Linked DNA regions of Drosophila melanogaster. The protein of the gene in region 2 interacts with the protein of the main gene of each other region in a pairwise test. Each region holds a gene or a part of one and is shown on either strand. Other genes may lie near its edges. The genes, in order: CG14183 and hoe1.

Region 1 (10,048 bases), on a different chromosome or scaffold from region 2:
GTTCGTCCGCATCCATCGATAATTGGCTACGAGGATATTCAGCGTGGCTTCATCGGTTGCATGGCAAACATCAAAATAGCCAAAGAGTCGCTGCCATTGTACATTTCCGGTGGGAGTACCATTGCTGCCTTGAAACGTTTTACGAATGTCGAGTTCAAGTGCGATCCGTCGAATGTTCTGGTGCGCCTGGGCATTTGCGGATCTCAGCCGTGTGCCAATAGTGGAATCTGCAAGGAACTCGATACGGACGTGTTTGAATGCGCCTGTCAGCCCCGATATTCCGGCAAGCATTGCGAGATTGATTTGGACCCTTGCTCATCGGGACCCTGCTTGTTTGGCGGCAGGTGCGACTACCACGGACCGAACAACTACAGCTGCACGTGTCCCATCCACTTATCCGGAAAGAGGTGTGAGTACGGCAAGTTCTGCACGCCGAACCCGTGCAAAAACGGTGGCATTTGCGAGGAAGGCGATGGAATATCGCACTGCATGTGCCGCGGCTACACGGGACCCACTTGTGAGATCGATGTGGATGAGTGCGAGAACCAGCCGTGCGGCAATGGAGCGACCTGCATCAATGAACCCGGAAGTTTCCGTTGCATTTGTCCATCTTATCTCACAGGAGCCAGCTGCGGCGATCCCCTGTATTCGAACTCTATTTCTACAAAGCTGAAGAACTTTTCTATAGAGCACATTAGCGGGATCATTTCCGGCGTGGCCGTGGTACTGGTCATCATCAGTTGTGTCCTGTGTTGCGTGGTGTTGAAGAGGAGTTCCTCTTCAAAGCGAAGGAACCGACTAGAAAAGGACAAGAACAAGTCGTCGTACAAGGAGGCGAACTTGAACTCACTGGTGGACAAGGACAATTACTGCAAACCAAACGTAAAGTTGAGTAACTTGGAGGTTAACCAGCGTCCAATTAGCTACACAGCAGTTCCAAATGACAACCTAGTCCTGAGCAATAGGAATTTTGTAAATAACTTAGACATCTTGCGTAGCTACGGTTCGGCCGGCGATGAACTGGAAAATGTGCCATTCGAGTACCAGAAGGTTAATCGAAACAAACAGCATGTGAACATAAACTCCTGCCATTCAACCGATGCAGATAATGCCTACAAACAAGAATGGTGCGAGCAAATGCATTTAAGAACCTTCAGTGAAAATAAACTGAACAATGGTAAGTCAATGCCTCTTAGTGTCAGATAGCAAAAGCAAATATTAACCTGCTCTTTATTTCAGAACTTAAACGGGATTTCGGACCATCTGTGAGTCGCTTTTCAACTGGGAAACTAATCCAAGTTGAAATGCCCAACGTGTGCCACTCTTCCAGTGCGAATTTCGTTGATTATTCAGCTCTTGCCAATGGTCAGTATCATTGGGACTGTTCCGACTGGGTTCGCAAAAGCCATAATCCCTTGCCAGATATAACCGAAGTTCCTGGAGCAGAAATAGCTGATTCGTCGAGCTTACACAGCAACGATAGCAACGAGTCCAAGTCGAAGAAAGCCTTTTTCGTGCACAGTAAGTATAGAATTTAAAACTCGTTTCCCGGACCAATAACTGATTTCACCACCAAAAGGGGAAGACGGAGATGTTGATCCGACGAGGGATATAGCCGCGTTGAATGAGGATATCGGATCGGAGTATTTGGACTCGGAGGCAGAGAGCTGCTTGGAGCCGTTTATGTTGCCAAGATCAAGTAATCAGCCACTTTCAAGACTGAGTTCTTTTAATAATATCGAGAATGAAGACTATAAATCAAATACAGGTAAAACCCTTCGTTAAAATGTTAAATGCATCTAATAAAATACAAAAAAAAAAAAAAAAAAAAAAAAAAAGGAATTGATTATTATCACTAAACGTTTTCATGTTTATGTTCATAACAAGCTGATTTATCTTATTGGCTGTTACAAAATCGCAGTTCATTTTTCATTTTATAATTTCAACAATTTATTTAATACATATTGCACACAATATCTAACTCTTTCCTCTTATAAGTAATTTTGTTATTCCTTTAAACTTTCTAACAAATAACATCTTTGTATACTAACCTATTAAACTACTTCATTTCATGCAATCAGTGCCTTTACCGTCGAAAGTTAGTCATTCGTGTAAGTTTTGTATTCATTATAAGTAATAGTCCAATGGTTATTTATAAATTTAGGTCAATGCTTTTTTTATACTGAACCTGTATTAAATTAAAAATATTTGTTACTGCATATTAACCACATAAAATGTTACAAGAATCTTACTTCAAAATGTCCATATCTGATCTATTCCACAGGCAAAGTATATTTAAGACATCCTGATTCGTATTTACCGACGATGCATTTTCCAAGTGAGACCGATGGGGAAAGCTCTATGACCGAGGGGCCGATTTCTAGGATGGAAATAAAAACCAGGAGGACGATAAGTGGTAAGCAAGGGAAATGCCTTTACATATCTTACAAATATCACGATTCTCTCTAATTATGCAGAAAATTCAGAGGAGGCATACCTATTTCCATGCACTGTCGGAGAAATTGGATCCAACAGCAACATTTCGGTTCGACTGTGTGAAATTGAAGATTCTGAGTTGGAGGAGTTTTTACCACAACAACAAACAAACAATTAAATGACATGCTTAATATATAAGAACTACATTTTACACAAATTATTTCATTTCGTTAGATACTATTTTCCATAGGAAAACTTTGGTTATATATTTTCAATAAAAAAGACACAAAGAACATCTGCACTTCCATAGTATCATTAGTTTAAGGCCAAGGTAAGTTTACACTTACAAATAGTTATATATGAAAATGCATATTTAAATAAGTTTTAAACTGATTTATTTATTTCTTTTTGCTTGCCTTCGCCAACTTTTGAGCCATATACGATTTTCTCAGCTTTTCCAGCTTGTTTGAGCTGCCGAACCATTTATTGAACTTATCCATTATCTAAAAAGAATTTCAGTTAAATGACTTAGTTGCTAAACATGTATTAAGTAAGCAAGTATACCTTCTCATCTGGAGGGAAAATGGGAGGCTCATTCTTGCTCAGGAAATATTCAAGGAACTCGTTCGGATCCAATGCCTCATTCTTGAGTCGCATCTTACGGTCGATGTTCAAGGTCTCCTTAACGTTATCATCAATGTCGCCGGAGTTGTACGCCTGAAGGACGCGTGCCAGTGCCGAGTAGGCGTACTCCTTCATGTCATCTGGCGCGTTCTCGGTCATCAGTTCCAGCCACAGCAGGAAGCTAGTGCCGTAATCGCACTTCGGAATAAGCAGTACTTTTTGGAACGCTCGCTTGATGCCTCCATTGGCCGCCCAGGGCATGTTACTCGTGCCGACTAGTACAATTTTGTCATTTTTCTTCAGTGGTTTCAAGATCTTGCTAGCTAACGAGGTGCCCAGCAGTCTGGGGTTAATCTCCACTGCCTCAGGCGGAACCTTTTTCCAAAATAGTCTATGCGCTTCCTCGATGTACATTATGGTGGGCTGAAAAGCCTTAGCCACTTTTAGAATAACATGCAGGAAGTACTTCAAGTCTTTGGCATATTTGTAGGTATTCTCGGGACTTAGGTTCATAAAAACTGCATCTGGAGTAGACAGAAGGTTTAAGTGCTCCGACAAAAAAAAAAAAAAAAAAAAAAAGAACAATTCCCAACAAAATGTTACTATACCTAGTTCGGATGCAATGATTTCACACAGCAATCGTTTTCCGCTATTCAGAGGTCCAATTAGCAAAAGAGACTTCGGCTTCGGAACATCGAATTCGCCCATTCCCAGCATCGACTCTTGGATAACCATTTTAATGTCACCCTTTGCTGGGCCCAATGTGCTGAATTTTAAATCGATATTAATTTTTTTTGTTAGGCTTAGTAGCTCTTTCAACAAATAACTACAACATACGTTAAGCCATCTTCATCTCGAGTGTCGTCTGCCACAAAGTTGAAGTCCGTTATGAACTCATCAAAGTCCCTATGACCAATTTCCTCTATTATGCCGGCATCTTTGAGCTCATTGTACAGGGATTCCAGTGTCCGATCGCCTGTCATGTCCTTGGGCTTCTTCTTCCTCTTCTCCTTCTTCTTCTTAGGATACTTCACCTTGAGAGCCTTGTACTTCTCATCGTTATCCTTCGCCAAGGCCTCCCGCAGCAACTCATACTCAACCCTGGAAGTTGAAAAGTTATATTTTCATTGTAAATATAAATAAATTTACCTCATGTATTCGTCGACCAAGCCCCTCACTTCCTGATGAATCTTTGCCAGTTGCTCCTCAGTAACCCATTCCTTGATGGGATCATGATTCTTGTTTAGATATTCATCGACATTTCTCCAGTCCTTGGAGTACTTCTTCATTGTTTCTTCAATGTTTTCTAAAATTGAAGAGAGTATTTGGAGACAATGGAAACATTCTCCATTAAGTCAAACTATCTACCAATTGCCTTGCTTGCAGTTAGCTCGTAGCCAATATCGATGACTCCAGCGTCTCTCAATTTCTTCCGACGTTTAGCTTCCTTCATTTTCAGTTGTTTTAGCTTTTCCTTCTTTTTCCTTTTCTCTTTCTTCTCCTTATCGCGAAGTTTCTTCAACTCGGCTTTTGACAGCGGCTTTTTACCAAGGCTTTCCTGAAATTCCATTGGCGTCATTGTTTCATCAATGACAACCAGTACCGTTCCTTGTTTTACAGGATCGGGATAAGGATGAAAATTCCCAGTCGCGTCGTAGCTGTTAAGTACGAGTTATACGTTTTTGCCTTTTTTGCCTCAATGAAAAACAACTCACAATTCCTTGAACCATGCCCGGATATGATCGGATATATCTTCCATCATCCATGGACTTCGGAATTGCAGCAATCGGGTGCGCTCATCGTTGATCAAGTTGATGAAGTCCTCATCCAGCTTCTTCTTGAGCATCTCGTTCTTGTACATTTCCATAATAGAATTTGCCGTCTGATTGGGTCGCTTCAGTTTCCTAATTTTCTTCATACCATACAATTCCTCCTTGAACCGCTTCCTAATCTTAACTATTTTCCGCGTCTTGTAACCACGCCAACAACTTTGGATTTTACAAGCAGCATTGTTCTGTATTGCACTTAAGGCTTCCTCATCTAGAAAATAATTAAAAACCAAATTAATTGTTTTGAAACGATCTAGCTACTTGCCATCTATTGCGGTATCCGCTACATCATCCTTTTTGATAAGATTTTCGCAGGACTCGTCCGCCTTCAAGAAGTCAGCTGAAAAAATGGTTCTCTTCACGGGAATACTCATTGCCTGATCAGGCTTAAAGGTGAATTTGTAATTTATTTTCTTTCTTTGATGGACCTTGAGGAACTTTTTCTTGTCGTACTTTATGTTGGACTTGTAAACCCGAGCTCGGCGCGCCCTCTCGTGAGCTTGGATAAGCTTGACCGCCTCACTGATCGGAACCCAATCCTGGGCTGCCTTTTCTTCCTTTTCCTCATCGTTCATGTACAATCGGTTGTCGGCAATGATATTTTGAATGTCCAACGGGCGACGGTAAAGGAATTGTGGTGACCTCCATACGACCAGGTCCCGTGGTGTTAGCTTCCTAGCGATCAGCGCCTTATCTATGTAAATGTATTCGCTCATTTCCAAGTCTTTTAACTCCTCCTTGAGTTGCATTAGCTGCTGAGTGGCATTCTCCACCAAAACACGTACCAATGCCCGCTTTTGCACTTGGAAAGTATTGTGGTATATGAAACTTAACTTATTGACCAGCTCCACATACAAAACATAGAGCTCTGCGTAAATTTTATACGATACTGCCTTTTCCTCTGGCGGCTCAATCTTCTTCAGGCGGTTCTGCTTCTTGATTAATTTACCAATTTCCTTGCGCGTGTAGACCCAAAATTTATGGTTAAGATCGAACGACATTTTGGATTTTAGCTATATGTGTGTGTGTGTGCCTTCCTAAATAAAAAAAATGTCTTGCCGTGTTAAGAATATAGTATGTATTTATTTGCTTCTGTACACTTAATGAAAATAAGTCGATTACCTGGTTATTCAAGGGCTACTTAGTACCAATATAGATTTTGATTTTATATAAATTTATCACTTTATTTCACTTAAGATACGATAATCAGGGAATCCGGAAGGGAACAACCACGGCCTCTTTGTGGTCGATCTGTATGTGCGAGACACTGATGTGTGCCTTCTCGGTGAAGAGCTTCATCTAAAAACATACGAAATTGGTAAGCAACAAGCAATTTGCGAAAAGTAAAACTCACTTGAGCAGTGTCATCTGGATAGGTTGGCTTAGACAGATAGAACTGATGGCTTGGTACATCTTTAAGGAGACCTGTTGTTCATTTAATTGTTAGTCATCATTCACCCTTTCAATCTAGCTATATTGCAAACCTTTTGGTGCGATACTGGCGTGCTGGCCGTTGTTCCACTGTTGATGCAACCGCTGCGAGTACAATCTTATTCTATCGGCGTACTCCTGGTGCTCCAGGCTGTGACAGTCCATGGCTCCAACGTTTATCATGTTTCTGGAGAGCAAAGTAGCGTATAAGCGAATACAAATATAATATAGATAAGCGATAATTAGGGCTGTGTTGCTTTGTTGCATTGAACATCCCGATAAATGCTTGGGTATAACCATACTACATACTAGATCCTGCCATCGCTATAACTACGTAGGTATACTACTATAGTATAGTATAGTATAGCAATCGCTGTAAAATGCTAGCATTCCAATCAATGGAATTGTATATGATAGTGCCAAATGTGGACCCTATACACTATCAACTACGTACATCGCAGTATTCTGCACCAGTCTGGAGAGGGCGTTCTGATCGTCCTTCTTGGGAAGGGAGTGGGCGTAGTCGGTGCTGAGGCCATCGGAGTTGCTCCGTCGAAGGGCAGGACTATGGTTCACCGGGTCCACGAGAAGGTGTGTCCGCTCGTTCGGCTCGTTGGGCTGCAGATGGAACGCATTGTGTATTCGGTCTGTTGACGGGGAAAGGGGAATGTGCGGATTACCTGCGCACCTGGATCTTCGGTGCATTGCCAGCAGTTGCAGATCGAGGCTAGGTAGCTCCAAACAGAGTGCACATACTCCATTCTAAATGCAATTGTTCAATTGTTCTTTATTTTTTATGCAAGTTTTTCTAGGGATGGAATTGTACATATTCGATAAGATCAGTGCTACCAGACAGTTTAAAACAGCTGTATACATACTTGTTATCGATTAGGCGCTAAATATTACAATTTTAATCGGACATTAAATTCATGGGTTTTCATAAGGGAATACTAGTTTATTACTTACTGTTCCTAGCGTTATCCTTGTTTTATTTATTATGAAATACTTTTTATTGGGAATTAAGTTGATTTAAATTTATACTTTATTAATTTGTTATATTTTTATTGGAAATCGGCAATAATTGTGAAGATATTAAAAAATTTAACTGCTTTTGGTAGACATCAATTATTAATTTGAAATATTTATATTGCTGTTTTTTCTATCAACCTATATGACATTTTCCCCAACAGCCAGCCCACGAGAACGAGCACATTCTTGATTGATGAAGATGCCAAAATTTCAGCCAACGGAAGTTGCTTATCTCGTCGCTTCCTTCGTGCCAATCAAATGAATTGGGCCGCACATTTTTAATTGTGTCGCTCGAGCAGTAAGGACAAAGGATGCGGAGTACGCCAGCTACTCGCAAGGAACGGAGAACGCCCTTAAATCAACGACGCGGTTAACCATGATGGCGAAAGCGGCGAGGCGGAAACGCAAATTCATTGCCGAGGCTGCATGACATGGGGGCATGTGTGGCAGTGCTGACAGCTTTTGCTATCCTTTCCACAAGAAGAACCTCTGAAAAATGTAAAACCATAATAACATAATGTGTAATATTGGGGTTTCTGAATGGGCTGATGTTCTTCGAATATCTTACGTAGAGTGAAAAAGTTCAAGATTCATAAGAATTTAAAACTTAATATGGCCGTTAAAAAACAGTTTTTCTCTCCAATACGGTCTAATTTATTGAGTTTTCCCTTCAGTTTGTTCTTCTGTTTCCGCCGCCTAAGTGAATTTATTGTCTCCTCCTGGCAGCACTGATGTGGGCCTCGTCATCGCATCCTGATCCTTTGCGCCACCTCCAGACCCGGCACCATGCCCATATATTGAGCCAGACGCACACTCACACTTGCTGGCAACTTGTAACTTCGTTTTGCCCCGCTTTTGTTTCCGTTCCCTGGCAGCGGAAGCCGGGCTAGAAATTTCATAACTGCCACAAGGAGCAGCTTCACTTCAAATTCAATTATCCTGCGCCTGCACACGGCCCCAAAGGATATCGATCAGTACATCTAAGGAGGTGCATATGTCTGCGGCTTGCCGACCGGGAATAGGCATCTTACATCGTCATTTTGCGATACGCCATCTAAGGGATTTCCTTCGAGGATGTTGGGTTTTATCTAGACAGCTCATTAGCTGAGTAAGTCCATTGTTTTTAGATTTATGATGATATACTAACCAGCCAGGAAAACAAATATTATATACAAATTATGCATTATACATAAAATTTTTTTAATAAATTATATTTATTTTTTATGCTAAGAGCATTTAGCATTTCACTTGTGAGGAAACACTATATTCAGTATTTATTTAATTTGATGGCTTTGCAAAGTTCAATTTCTGCTAGCTCATTTGGTCTGGATGGGCGTGGTTCGGCGGAACTGTAGGCAAAAAACCTCAACCACATTAACGACTTAATGAGCACCCGCGAAGCAGTTTGCCACTTGATTGCCCACGGGGTGGCACCAGTCGCCGCTGATTGGATTCAGCTGGTGTTTTATCTAGGGCCTTCGACTTCCAGCCAGTTTCAGGTTCAGAATTCTCCGGCTCATTGTTGCATCGACAAAGAAACGCAGTTTACATCGAATAGCTGCGGATTATCGGAGCCACGCCCCCAAAACCCATACCCTCGTCCTGCCGCAGAAGTGCGGCACCACAGCGGTTTCAGTATGCAAAGCGCAAGGCATCCGGAGGCCACATAGTCCTCCGTCCACCTCCACTTCGGCGGATAAATAGTGCCGCGCAAACTTACAGCGGGAAGAACAACACTTTTATGCACAAGACTTTACATTTTTGCTGGGCGGACGCATCTGCAAACTGCGCTGTAAGAAAGTTAGGGTCGATATATATACTGGATTTGAATTAATACTCTAACAAGGATTTGTTCCCTTTTCACTTATGTCAAAGGTGTTATACTAGATTTGCTTATAATGCATGAATCCGAAATGATAGAGTCTATGTACTGACCATATGACATCTAATTTTCTTTCCGTGTAAGTTGTGCGTCCCACAACTCCAGAAACTTTTTGCCCCAGATTGTCGGTGTTGACTTGGTTAGCAGTTTGGCCCTTCGGCGAGCCTTTGCATCTGGCCATAAACGTCGGGGGAGGCGATAAAGTTGAACCTGATTATGCAGCTTTATTAGAGGTGAACGATCAACTCGGAATGGCCCAGAAAAAAAAGAGAAAAAGCGACTCTTGCAGTCATTAAAAAATATACAAATATATTGATATATTCTATATTATATAGTAGTATACCCTACAGTTCCACAATTCATCGCAACTCAAACTTATAACTTATCCCAAAATCGGGAAAACAATTAATCTTAAAATCATCAATAGTTTTCTTACAAACAAACTGAGAGGTCGAGATACATACTTCGTGGCGATTCGCTGCTGAAAACGTAATGAATGTAACTGCAGGGTATATAATCGCTGCAAACCAAACAAACATAATGTAAAATATCGATCCCAGTTAACTGGCTTACCGCATAAACTCGTATATAATTCCCTCTACCCTTTAAAATGTCACACATTCGTGCTAAATTCATAAACTTGCCGCTGTATCGGGTTTAAGCTGCAGCTGAAATACGACAAATGCTTTTGGAATGCAATTCAATTTCCTTTTTTGGCCAATTCGCGTCCTCGGCGATGTCGCTATCGCCGTATTTGTTGGCCTTAATTTTGCAGGAGCGATTCGCCGAGCAATCTGTTCCATTTCTGCTTGACATT
Region 2 (9,125 bases):
GCTAAAATAAAAGGTAATCAATATAGTGAATATTTTCTTAATCAAACATCTTTTTTAGCTTTTACTGTGCCGTAATTAAATGTGAGAAACCTATTTTGGCAGCCTAAATAATATGCATAAATTCTGTTATAATGAGCGAACCAATACAGTGGCTAATCCGTTTTTTCCCGAAGATTCAATAGGAAAAACGGACCACATGTCGTATGAGCAATTGAGTCCAACTAAGATCGGGGATGGCAAAAATTAATGGGTCAAGTAAATGCGTCTCAATAAGCCATTGTGTGGGTGCATAATGCAAACTTGTTGATAGGAATTGTGCCACCCCCGAATGAGGCGAGCAAAACATGGGAATCCACAAGAATATTTCGGCGCCTGCGCCATCCTGGAAATCGGCGAATATAAAGCTCCGTGGGACCGAAGGTCGGTGGGTGGTACGATGGCGATGGTTTTCACTTTCAATATTGAAAGCAGCGCCGGCGGCTGAATGGAAACCGAAACCCCGCAACTGCGTCGCGTCCGATTCGGATTTATATTCAGTCGCATTGTGCCTCGCGTGCGGCAAAGATGTCCGCGACCACACCTCGCTGACGACCATCTGTGAAATCTGTGGAAAAGCTCCCACGCTCCGTCAACCGATTTCCTCGCACTTCCCGCCGATTACCAGCAACATGGGTCTGCGGGACACCATTCGTAACCTACGGCCGGCAAGTCCCGGCCGGGAGAAGTCATCGGGCATCGAGCTGCAGCAGCGAAGTCCGCGAGGTGCATGCCACCACAATCAGGTGGCCGCCGTCCAGGTCACGGAGCAATCATTACAGGTATGGCGCGCACTGCCAGCAGAGATTCGCCACGATCCCAGCATGGCCAGTTTTCAGATGGAGAACGAGAGAATCCATGGTGAGTGAAGGGTGTCATTTGAAATTTATGGATGCCTATAGAAAAAATATTAATATTATTTTTCCTCTTTGCTCAGTACTAAGCCATATAGCTAAGCCATAGCCTTTAAATCAATAAACTGTCATACAAATGTCAATCCATTCCCTTGCTCAATCCACGACATAGATAGCTGGTTAATTACGTGACTGCCACTCACTTTTAGGTTCCTCCGGCGGCGCCACTGACGACGAGGATGAGGATGGATACGAGGAGGTGGATATGAAGAACGTCAGTCGCATTCAGGATGAGCCCGGCTCAAGCTTTGCCGGCTCCGACTTTCTGGACATCAAGAACAGGCCTGGTGATGAGAATGCCACCGACGATGAGGTCACCACCCACTCCGATCACGAAGCGGCCAATGGTGGTCCGGGTAATGCCAAATCACAGGCCCGCCGGATTCATCACAAATCCAAGCGTTCCAAGGAGCAGCGACAGCGGGACAAATTGTGGAAACGGGGTGGACTACTTGTATTTTGGATCCTGTCGGCAGTGGTGCTGATTTCGGTGGGCGAAAAGCATCTGCTGGAGAAGACCATTGATGTGCCAATGGGCGAGGAGGGAAAGTGTGAGTTTCCATCTATTTAGTTGATTTATTTTTATTTTTTTAATTTACATTGGAACATTGTTTTTCTAATTAGTTTTCAAGCTGCTCCAAAAACCCACTGGTGACTTCCGCTTGAAGATTCATGGCGCTTTTAGAGAGCTCTCCACGCTGGATGCCCCCGAAAATGAGACTTTGAGCTTTGGATTTCTGACTGTGCAGCCACAGGTGTCCACTTACATTGGCGAGAATCACAGCCAGGTGTTCCAGGTGAGTATTACATAACTACTGCACAATCGAATATAAAGTTGGCAAGATGTAAGCTTTTTTTTTTTTGGATTTTTCAGGATATACTTCCAGCGTGGCGTTTACCACTGCTCTCCGAGGAGGAACTGATGCTGCGTGCTCCGGCTGTGACCACCAATCGCACCTACCAGATGACTCAGGAGTTAGATGAAATGTTGGCTGGAAAGAACAGCGAATTTCGCTTGCATATCTATAGCGATGTGGAGGTGGATTTGGCCATTGTTCTGAACTATAATCCCTTGATAGTGAATGCCAGGACAGGGAGCATCCTGGCTGGTGTAATCCTGCTAATCTTCTATGCACTGCTTGTTTGGGAACTCTTCGAAAGAACCTTTGTGGCCATGATATGTTCCATTCTTTCGGTGACGACTCTAGCCTGTTTTAATGGTTGGTTACAGAACCCGGGTATTTCTTCATTTCTTAATTATTTGAAATTCCCCAGATCGTCCCAATATGGATGAGATTATCCAGTGGATGGACATGGAGCTACTGACTCTACTCTTCTGCATGATGCTGCTCATTTTGATACTGACTGAAACTGGCGTATTCGACTACCTGGCCGTATTTTGTTTCGAGATATCGGGTGGCAAGATCTGGCCCATGATATATAGTCTCTGTTTGGTCACCTGCCTGGTGTCCAGTGTGCTGGACAACATGACAACCGTGCTGCTCCTGACCCCAGTGGCAATCCGATTGTGCGAGGTAATGCAGTTGGATCCCCTGCCCGTGGTGATGGGCATTATAGTGCATGCCAATATCGGAGGAGCCCTGACGCCCATCGGAGATCCCATCAGTATTATAGTCAGCACCAATCACTTTATTGTGGATAATGTGGGTATAACATATAGGTTATGCAAGCTGTTATATAGATTTCCCCTACCTTTTCAGGATGTAACTTTTCCCACATTTGTGGCCCACACATTTCCAGGTGTCATTCTAGCAGTTATTCAAAGTTGTGTGTACCTGCGCCTCTTCTATCACAATATCGATGCACTGCGTCTCAATGAGCCCAAGGAGATGAGTGAGCTGCGTAGGGAGATGAAGGTGTGGCAGAGAGCCTTGAATGCAGTGGCCTCCTGTTCCAAGGATGCCCAGCTGGTGAGGGGAACGCTCCAGGCTAAGATTAAGCAACTGAAAAGGACCCTTAGAAGATTGCAAAAAGGTGTGGGCTCCACGGAGGTCTATACGAATACGCTGGACGAGCTCAAGCAGAAAGTAAGTGGATTTACTGAACTGGGATCTTTATAGCTGAGCAATCCATTTCCAGTACCCCATCAAAAACAAGACGCTGCTTTTGCAATCCGCTGGAGCCCTACTCTTCGTCATTGTTTGCTTCTTCATCCAATCCGTGCCGCACTGGAGGACATTACCCCTGGGTTGGGTGGCCCTGCTGGGTGTGATCCTGCTGCTGATCATCCTCAATCGCGATGACATGGAGCACTTGATGCACCGCATCGAGTGGACCACGCTGCTCTTCTTCGCCGCCATGTTCGTGATGATGGAATGCGTGGAGAGATTGGGAATCTTCGCCTGCATCAGTGAGCTCACCGAGCACGTTATCCTTTCGGTGGGAAAGAGTCATCGTCTGGCCATGGCCATCTTTATGATATTATGGATGTCGGCGCTGGCATCATCCATATTGGATAGTATTCCGGTGGCAGCCATAATGGTGAAGCTGGTGACCTCTCTGGTGGCCAAGCCATCGCTGGGACTGCCCCTCCAGCCACTGGTTTGGGCTCTGACCCTGGGCGCTTCGATGGGCGGAAATGGAACGCTCTATGGCGCATCAGCCAATGTCATTGCAGCCGGAATTGCCGAGCAACATGGCTATAAGTTGTCCTTCACCCGATATCTGAGAACAGTTTTTCCCATGATGCTGGGACAGATCACCCTGATGACTGTCTATCTACTGGTGGCGCATGTGGTCTTTGAATGGCATTGAGACTCCCTATTTAATACACATACTGAATAACATATTATTGTATCTAATGATGGAAAATGTTTTTCACTTCGAATCTAATCGTGTGTTTTTTTGTGTGAGTTTTACTGTAGTCTTTGTCCTTTTACATTCGCCTCTTGATGTGTTTCATGTGTTTTTGGCATATAAAATAAGAATATTTATATTTAAGCGTTCATTTGTGATTGGCAAATGTATAAAAATATACCATAAATATAAAAGTACACATGGTTTTTCGTTCGCCTTCGTGGAATTTGGCTGGACTGATGGAAATCACTTTTGGTAGTCCATCAAGGCGGTGTTTTTAATGTCGTGTGAAATGTTATAAATTTAGACTTTATTGTCTAAGGTCGAAGTGGGGAAATCGTGAAAATTCAACAGGCCATAAATACAAAACGAAGGAAAATTATAGATTTGATTTTCAAATTTCAATAAGAGGCAGTTCTACAAGTATTTAGATACATTTAAAATTCGAAGCGATGTCTGTATTTTAGAGATTTCAAAGCACAATATAAACATATAATAAGTTAAATTATAAATATCATAATTCTCGTGTTTTCTAGTTTATCCCATATGCACCTTGGTTTGGAAAACATAAACAAACGTAAATAATTCCTGAGACTGACCATTGCCAAGTTCAATGTTGACCAGAATATCCGCATATGAAAGTGCTTGCATGTACATATACATATATATTAAAAGCGAGTATATAGCATATAGTATATGGAAAGAAGACAACTGCTGGTCAATAAATGAGAATAAGACAATGTGGAAAAGCAGCGAGGGATTTCCTCGGGTGGTTGTTGCTATTTATTTGCTCTGCTACTGCTGCGCTTTCCACACTTTCCACAGCGCTCGTTCCATAGGTAAATTGTATTTTAAGTTCACAAACAAATGGCCACGAGGGATTGCGAATGGAGGAGGTGAAACGGAGGACCCGACCTGTCCGCCATGTGGAGAGGAGACTGCCAGCAGTTTTATGGCAGCCGCGAGAGGGAAAGTCGTGCCGACAACGACTGACTGAATTTTAATTAATTTGCGCCAAGGAATAAAGTGAAAATTGGAAATTGGCTTATTTGGCCCAGACTGGCCGCCCTGCAGGCCAAATAAAAATGTGATAAGCGTACGAAATTACGCCGAAATCGAGTTGGTTTTTTTTTTTGTAAGGTGAACCAAGATGACATCTCCCTATGGATACAGTAAGCCCACCTTTATGATAACGGACCACACTCGCGATCCGTATCATCTGCAGCCGGGTGATGACGACGACGATCGGGATGAGGATGAGGAGCGTCAGACGAAGCTGCAGGAGATCATCAGTTGGCTGCACTTGAATGCCAAGCATCGCAGCAAATGGTAAGTCGGCCGCATCAAGTATACGCCGCGGGTGGCCCATGCAAGTCAGCTTATATTGATATTAAGTATACGCCCGGTTGGCCACCGCCACTCGAAGTTTGAGTTGTTTATTTGCCCGGTTCCGTTTTCTCATTAGCCTGGCATTAAATTGTGCTGCAGGAGATGATGGACCCAAAACTTTTCCTTTTAATGTCCTGCTAAGCTTCTTAATAACGGTCCATTGGTTGCGACTTGTTTGTTTTCCGAGATGAAATCAACTCGAGGACATTTTGTGGATTTTAAGCCGCTGAGAGCCGCAACAGATGGTTTCCATTGAGATTGATTACAATTTATTTGTTTTTTAGTTGAAGCAGACACAGCAGTTTGTATATTTCATACTCCATATGCGTTGGAATTCCAGCAGAGTAATAAATGCGCTTTTCTTCGAAACTCTGATTGAAATGATACTCCTAATCCGAATTAATCATGTTTTTGTTTTGTTAGGGATTTTTTCCATTAGCTTGTGGTTATAACAAAATGCCAGGCACGAAGGTATTGTTGTATGCAATTTGTGTGAATAATTCGAAGAATAGTTGGCATATACCCATTTCCAATCCAAGCCAATCTTTTGTTCGAGCAATTCGCTTCTGGGAACTACCATTCGATATAGGTTGCTTATAATCGATAATGTAATACCTTGGACACGTGCAAAATAAACTGAAGTACGCAGTGCAATGTGGAGATTATAAATAAACAATGGGGAATAAATATTGACTTGCGTTGCATTATATTATTTTATTTATAGTTCTCTATTTCCGTTGGCAAATACGTGGTTCAGCAGCCTCCGCAGCTGTTTGTAGGTTTTTTTGTATTAAGTTAAGCATTCGAATTAAGTGTCGTATTCAAATTAGTGCACTCACTCCCACACAAAAATTATCGGTGTAGTGAAAACCTAGGGTAATGCGAATTACATACGCAGTTGGTCCTCAATTAAAAGTTCCGCCTTGTTAATTAACAATTAAAGGGAAAACTCGAGACGGTAAATCACTGAGTTCTCTGGTTTATAGCGCAGTTACACTTGGTTGCAATAGAGAAGGCTGCTCATAAATATACAGGGTGTGTGGAGTCGACTTACATACTTGGGAGCATTATAAAGCATTCATAAACAACGAATAATAAACAACAAAATATGTACAATAAGCAACAGAATTTCATACAGAAAATGATATATTTATATAAACTTAACGATTTTTCTTATAACTAGTTTCCGGGACACCCTGTTTCCATTTGACATATTCTTGACAATCAAACCTGAAGTGAGCTTAGCTTATTATATAAGCGCTCGTTATTTACATAATTATTGTTTATTTACTCACGCTGAGCATTTGTTGTATACATCTACGTCTTGACCATGTGTAGAATCCACTAAGTACTGTATGCATATTGGTTGCAATTAATTTGCATTTTTGCATTGGCTGATACCAAGTAATTACAGCTAACACATCGATAATTGCCGTTGGCCAATTGGCAAAGTTTATGGATACTAAAGAAAAGAGGGAAGGGTTAAATACAGTTGGGATTATGGGCTATAAGTTATTCGCACTGACAGCTAAACACTTTGATGTGGCTGCCCATTTTTACGCTGACTTTCTGACAAGCAAATGAAAAGTCATTCAGTAGTTTCAAGTCCACCCAGAACCACGTGATCCCTCCACGGAACATGCAACCCAAGTTTGGTGGTCCCACGATGACATACATATATGTATGTAGAGATATGTGTGGAAACTTGTCAATGGTTTGTTGGGTGGGTAGCTTGGTGGCATGAAGGAGGTGCGAATAACTATCCCTGTACATGAGGGTTTTCCGCTCACAATTTTCCAACAAACTGTAAATACACTTTTTCTGGTTGCCAAGGGATGAGCTTAGGGGCTGTAAAAGTTCCGGCTTGAATTTGGAATGTACTATGTGTCTCTATGGGGGCCAACCTTTGAGGCACAATTGAGTGGAAATGAATTATGTATTAGTTGTTATTATGAAATGGAATGTACTCAATAGCTTGGCTTATGTGGTATTACAGTTTTCAACCAACTATATTAATGTATTAAGAACGGAAATGTTAAGAGAAAGTAACTGCTGATAGCATTTAACCCATATAACTCCGAATCAACTGCACCCATGCCCCATATTATTCAGATGGATAAGCCGCAGAGACCTTGGGCGAAGATACAATTGTTATTGGAAGAAACACACCTATTGCGTCTCACTGTGGATATCATCAGCGTTATTATTACTATTATTGCCATCGTCTTATTGAATGTGGGTGAGGAAAATTGCGGAATAAAAGAGCATTAATATTCCAGCTTTAAAGTCGCTCAAATGTCAAACGGCTCGTGGCGAGAAATAATATATATATACACGAGTTCACTTTGAGTTCCTTGGAGTGTGTTTGCGTTTCATTGTCCGTGGCATTAGGGTTTTTGGGATTCGGATTGGGTCTCGCATTTGGATTGAGTTGGGGCACAGCAGAAGCTGTTTGCTGATAAACTCGCCTTTTGTCTGCCCATACAGAAGATACAAAAACGTACGAGAATGTGGCACACAAACCACACATGCAAATGGAACCGCGCGTGGACGTCTATATTGTCGGAATTGGAAGCTTCAGTGGGATTTATCAACTTTGGCCTATAAATAAACAAGCGGACGGCCTTAAATTTGATAAAGCTGCCTTTTTCTGCAGATTTCACTTTCGTTTCTGAGAAAGCCTCGAGAGCTTTCGGCGTGATTCTCTTAGTTACATACTCGTAAATGCTGTATCGTCTCATTTCCATGACTATTTTTGGGCTGTATGACAAGTGATTTAAATTCGCACTAATTGCTCGACCGGTTGCTCGTGGCTTCTAAGCTCTGAATAGCATTAAGTCTACCGATTAATTGAGCAGACTTAAGTTGGAGTAAACAAATGATTAGATTGTGTGAATCACATGTATTTATTGCAGATTCACCACCCATAATAACTTATTGAATACAAAATATTTTCAAGACATTAGACAGAAACAAAGGTAACCAATAGTAACCGAATATATATGTTATTATTAGACTTAAGTGACTTAAGGTTCTATAAAATAATAATTAGCTATAATTAACCACCGATACAAATTAGTTGTGCGTGAGATACTTTTAAAGCACTCTTCTCATAAAATAAACAACTAAAATTCTGCCGGTCTAAAAGACGCAAGTTCAAGTTGTTGGCCATTGGAATCCGAGCGATTCCAGCTGAAAAAAAAACCTCGAGGCATTCAACAGCTATTGAAAGCAGCCAAGTTCCATTCAATTCTCGGCGGCGCTTTCAATGCGCCGTTCAACCGAAAACAGCTGCGACTTCGGCGCCGCACGAAGTAGCAACATGAGTATCGGAATAAGTAGCTATAGCTACGCCTGCATGGCATCGGATCGGCATCGGATGGGCATCGGATGGGCATCGGAATCGGAATCGGCAGTAACCGGCTGAAATAACTAGGAACGCGGCGCCGAGTCCGCAGATTTATTCAGTTTACAACTTTCGCTCGAAACGGACGTGCGACTTTGTCCGGCAATCCGCGTTCGAGTGGCAAACAATAGCTATACAAATAAATAGTAATCAAACAAGCGAGTGCACAATAGGGGCATAAAACAACAACAAGAGAAAAAAAAAGTAATTCAAACCTAAAGTGAGCTTATCATCGAATCTAACTTCTTAAGCAAGTGAGACTTTTCTTGGAAAGTTCAGGGTTGTGGCTGCAGCAGGTCGCTAGACAATCTAAAGGAGATAAAGGCACATTTAATTATGGAAATTTTTCCTTTGTTTCACGCGTATTTCCAGTTTCTTATTACCTCGGGATAATTTTGCTCATTAGGCGGGCCCAAAAAGAAGCAATTCCTTTGCATTAAGCGTTCCTAATTAGTCTGCTTCTGACTTTCTGAATAATTGCCTAGCGTCTGGTGACCGCAATGCACATCTATATATATTTATATATATATATCTAAATTAATTGAAGGATTCCCCAGGATTCA

The links.
Region 1: the proteins of hoe1 (region 2) and CG14183 interact in a two-hybrid assay, tested with the Drosophila melanogaster proteins (one large-scale study listed by BioGRID).

Annotation. Positions count from the first base shown.
Region 1 is NT_037436.4:20,021,872-20,031,919, forward strand, and holds CG14183 (uncharacterized protein), read right to left. Parts: upstream 5,965-10,048; 5' UTR 5,891-5,964; coding exon 5,155-5,890; intron 5,101-5,154; coding exon 4,776-5,100; intron 4,719-4,775; coding exon 4,429-4,718; intron 4,367-4,428; coding exon 4,210-4,366; intron 4,162-4,209; coding exon 3,898-4,161; intron 3,827-3,897; coding exon 3,669-3,826; intron 3,585-3,668; coding exon 3,001-3,584; intron 2,940-3,000; coding exon 2,835-2,939; 3' UTR 2,816-2,834; downstream 1-2,815. Other genes in the region: kug (kugelei), read left to right, coding at 1-1,177, 1,240-1,521, 1,580-1,768, 2,082-2,111, 2,285-2,416, 2,478-2,614; Lamtor1 (late endosomal/lysosomal adaptor, MAPK and MTOR activator 1), read right to left, coding at 6,096-6,188, 6,244-6,314, 6,374-6,507, 6,775-6,938, 7,001-7,081.
Region 2 is NT_033779.5:4,927,885-4,937,009, reverse strand, and holds the start of hoe1 (hoepel1), read left to right. Parts: upstream 1-4,625; 5' UTR 4,626-4,917; coding exon 4,918-5,096; intron 5,097-8,616; exon of another isoform or gene 8,617-8,816; intron 8,817-9,125. Other genes in the region: hoe2 (hoepel2), read left to right, coding at 669-897, 1,100-1,501, 1,575-1,747, 1,825-2,170, 2,226-2,614, 2,672-2,998, 3,051-3,725.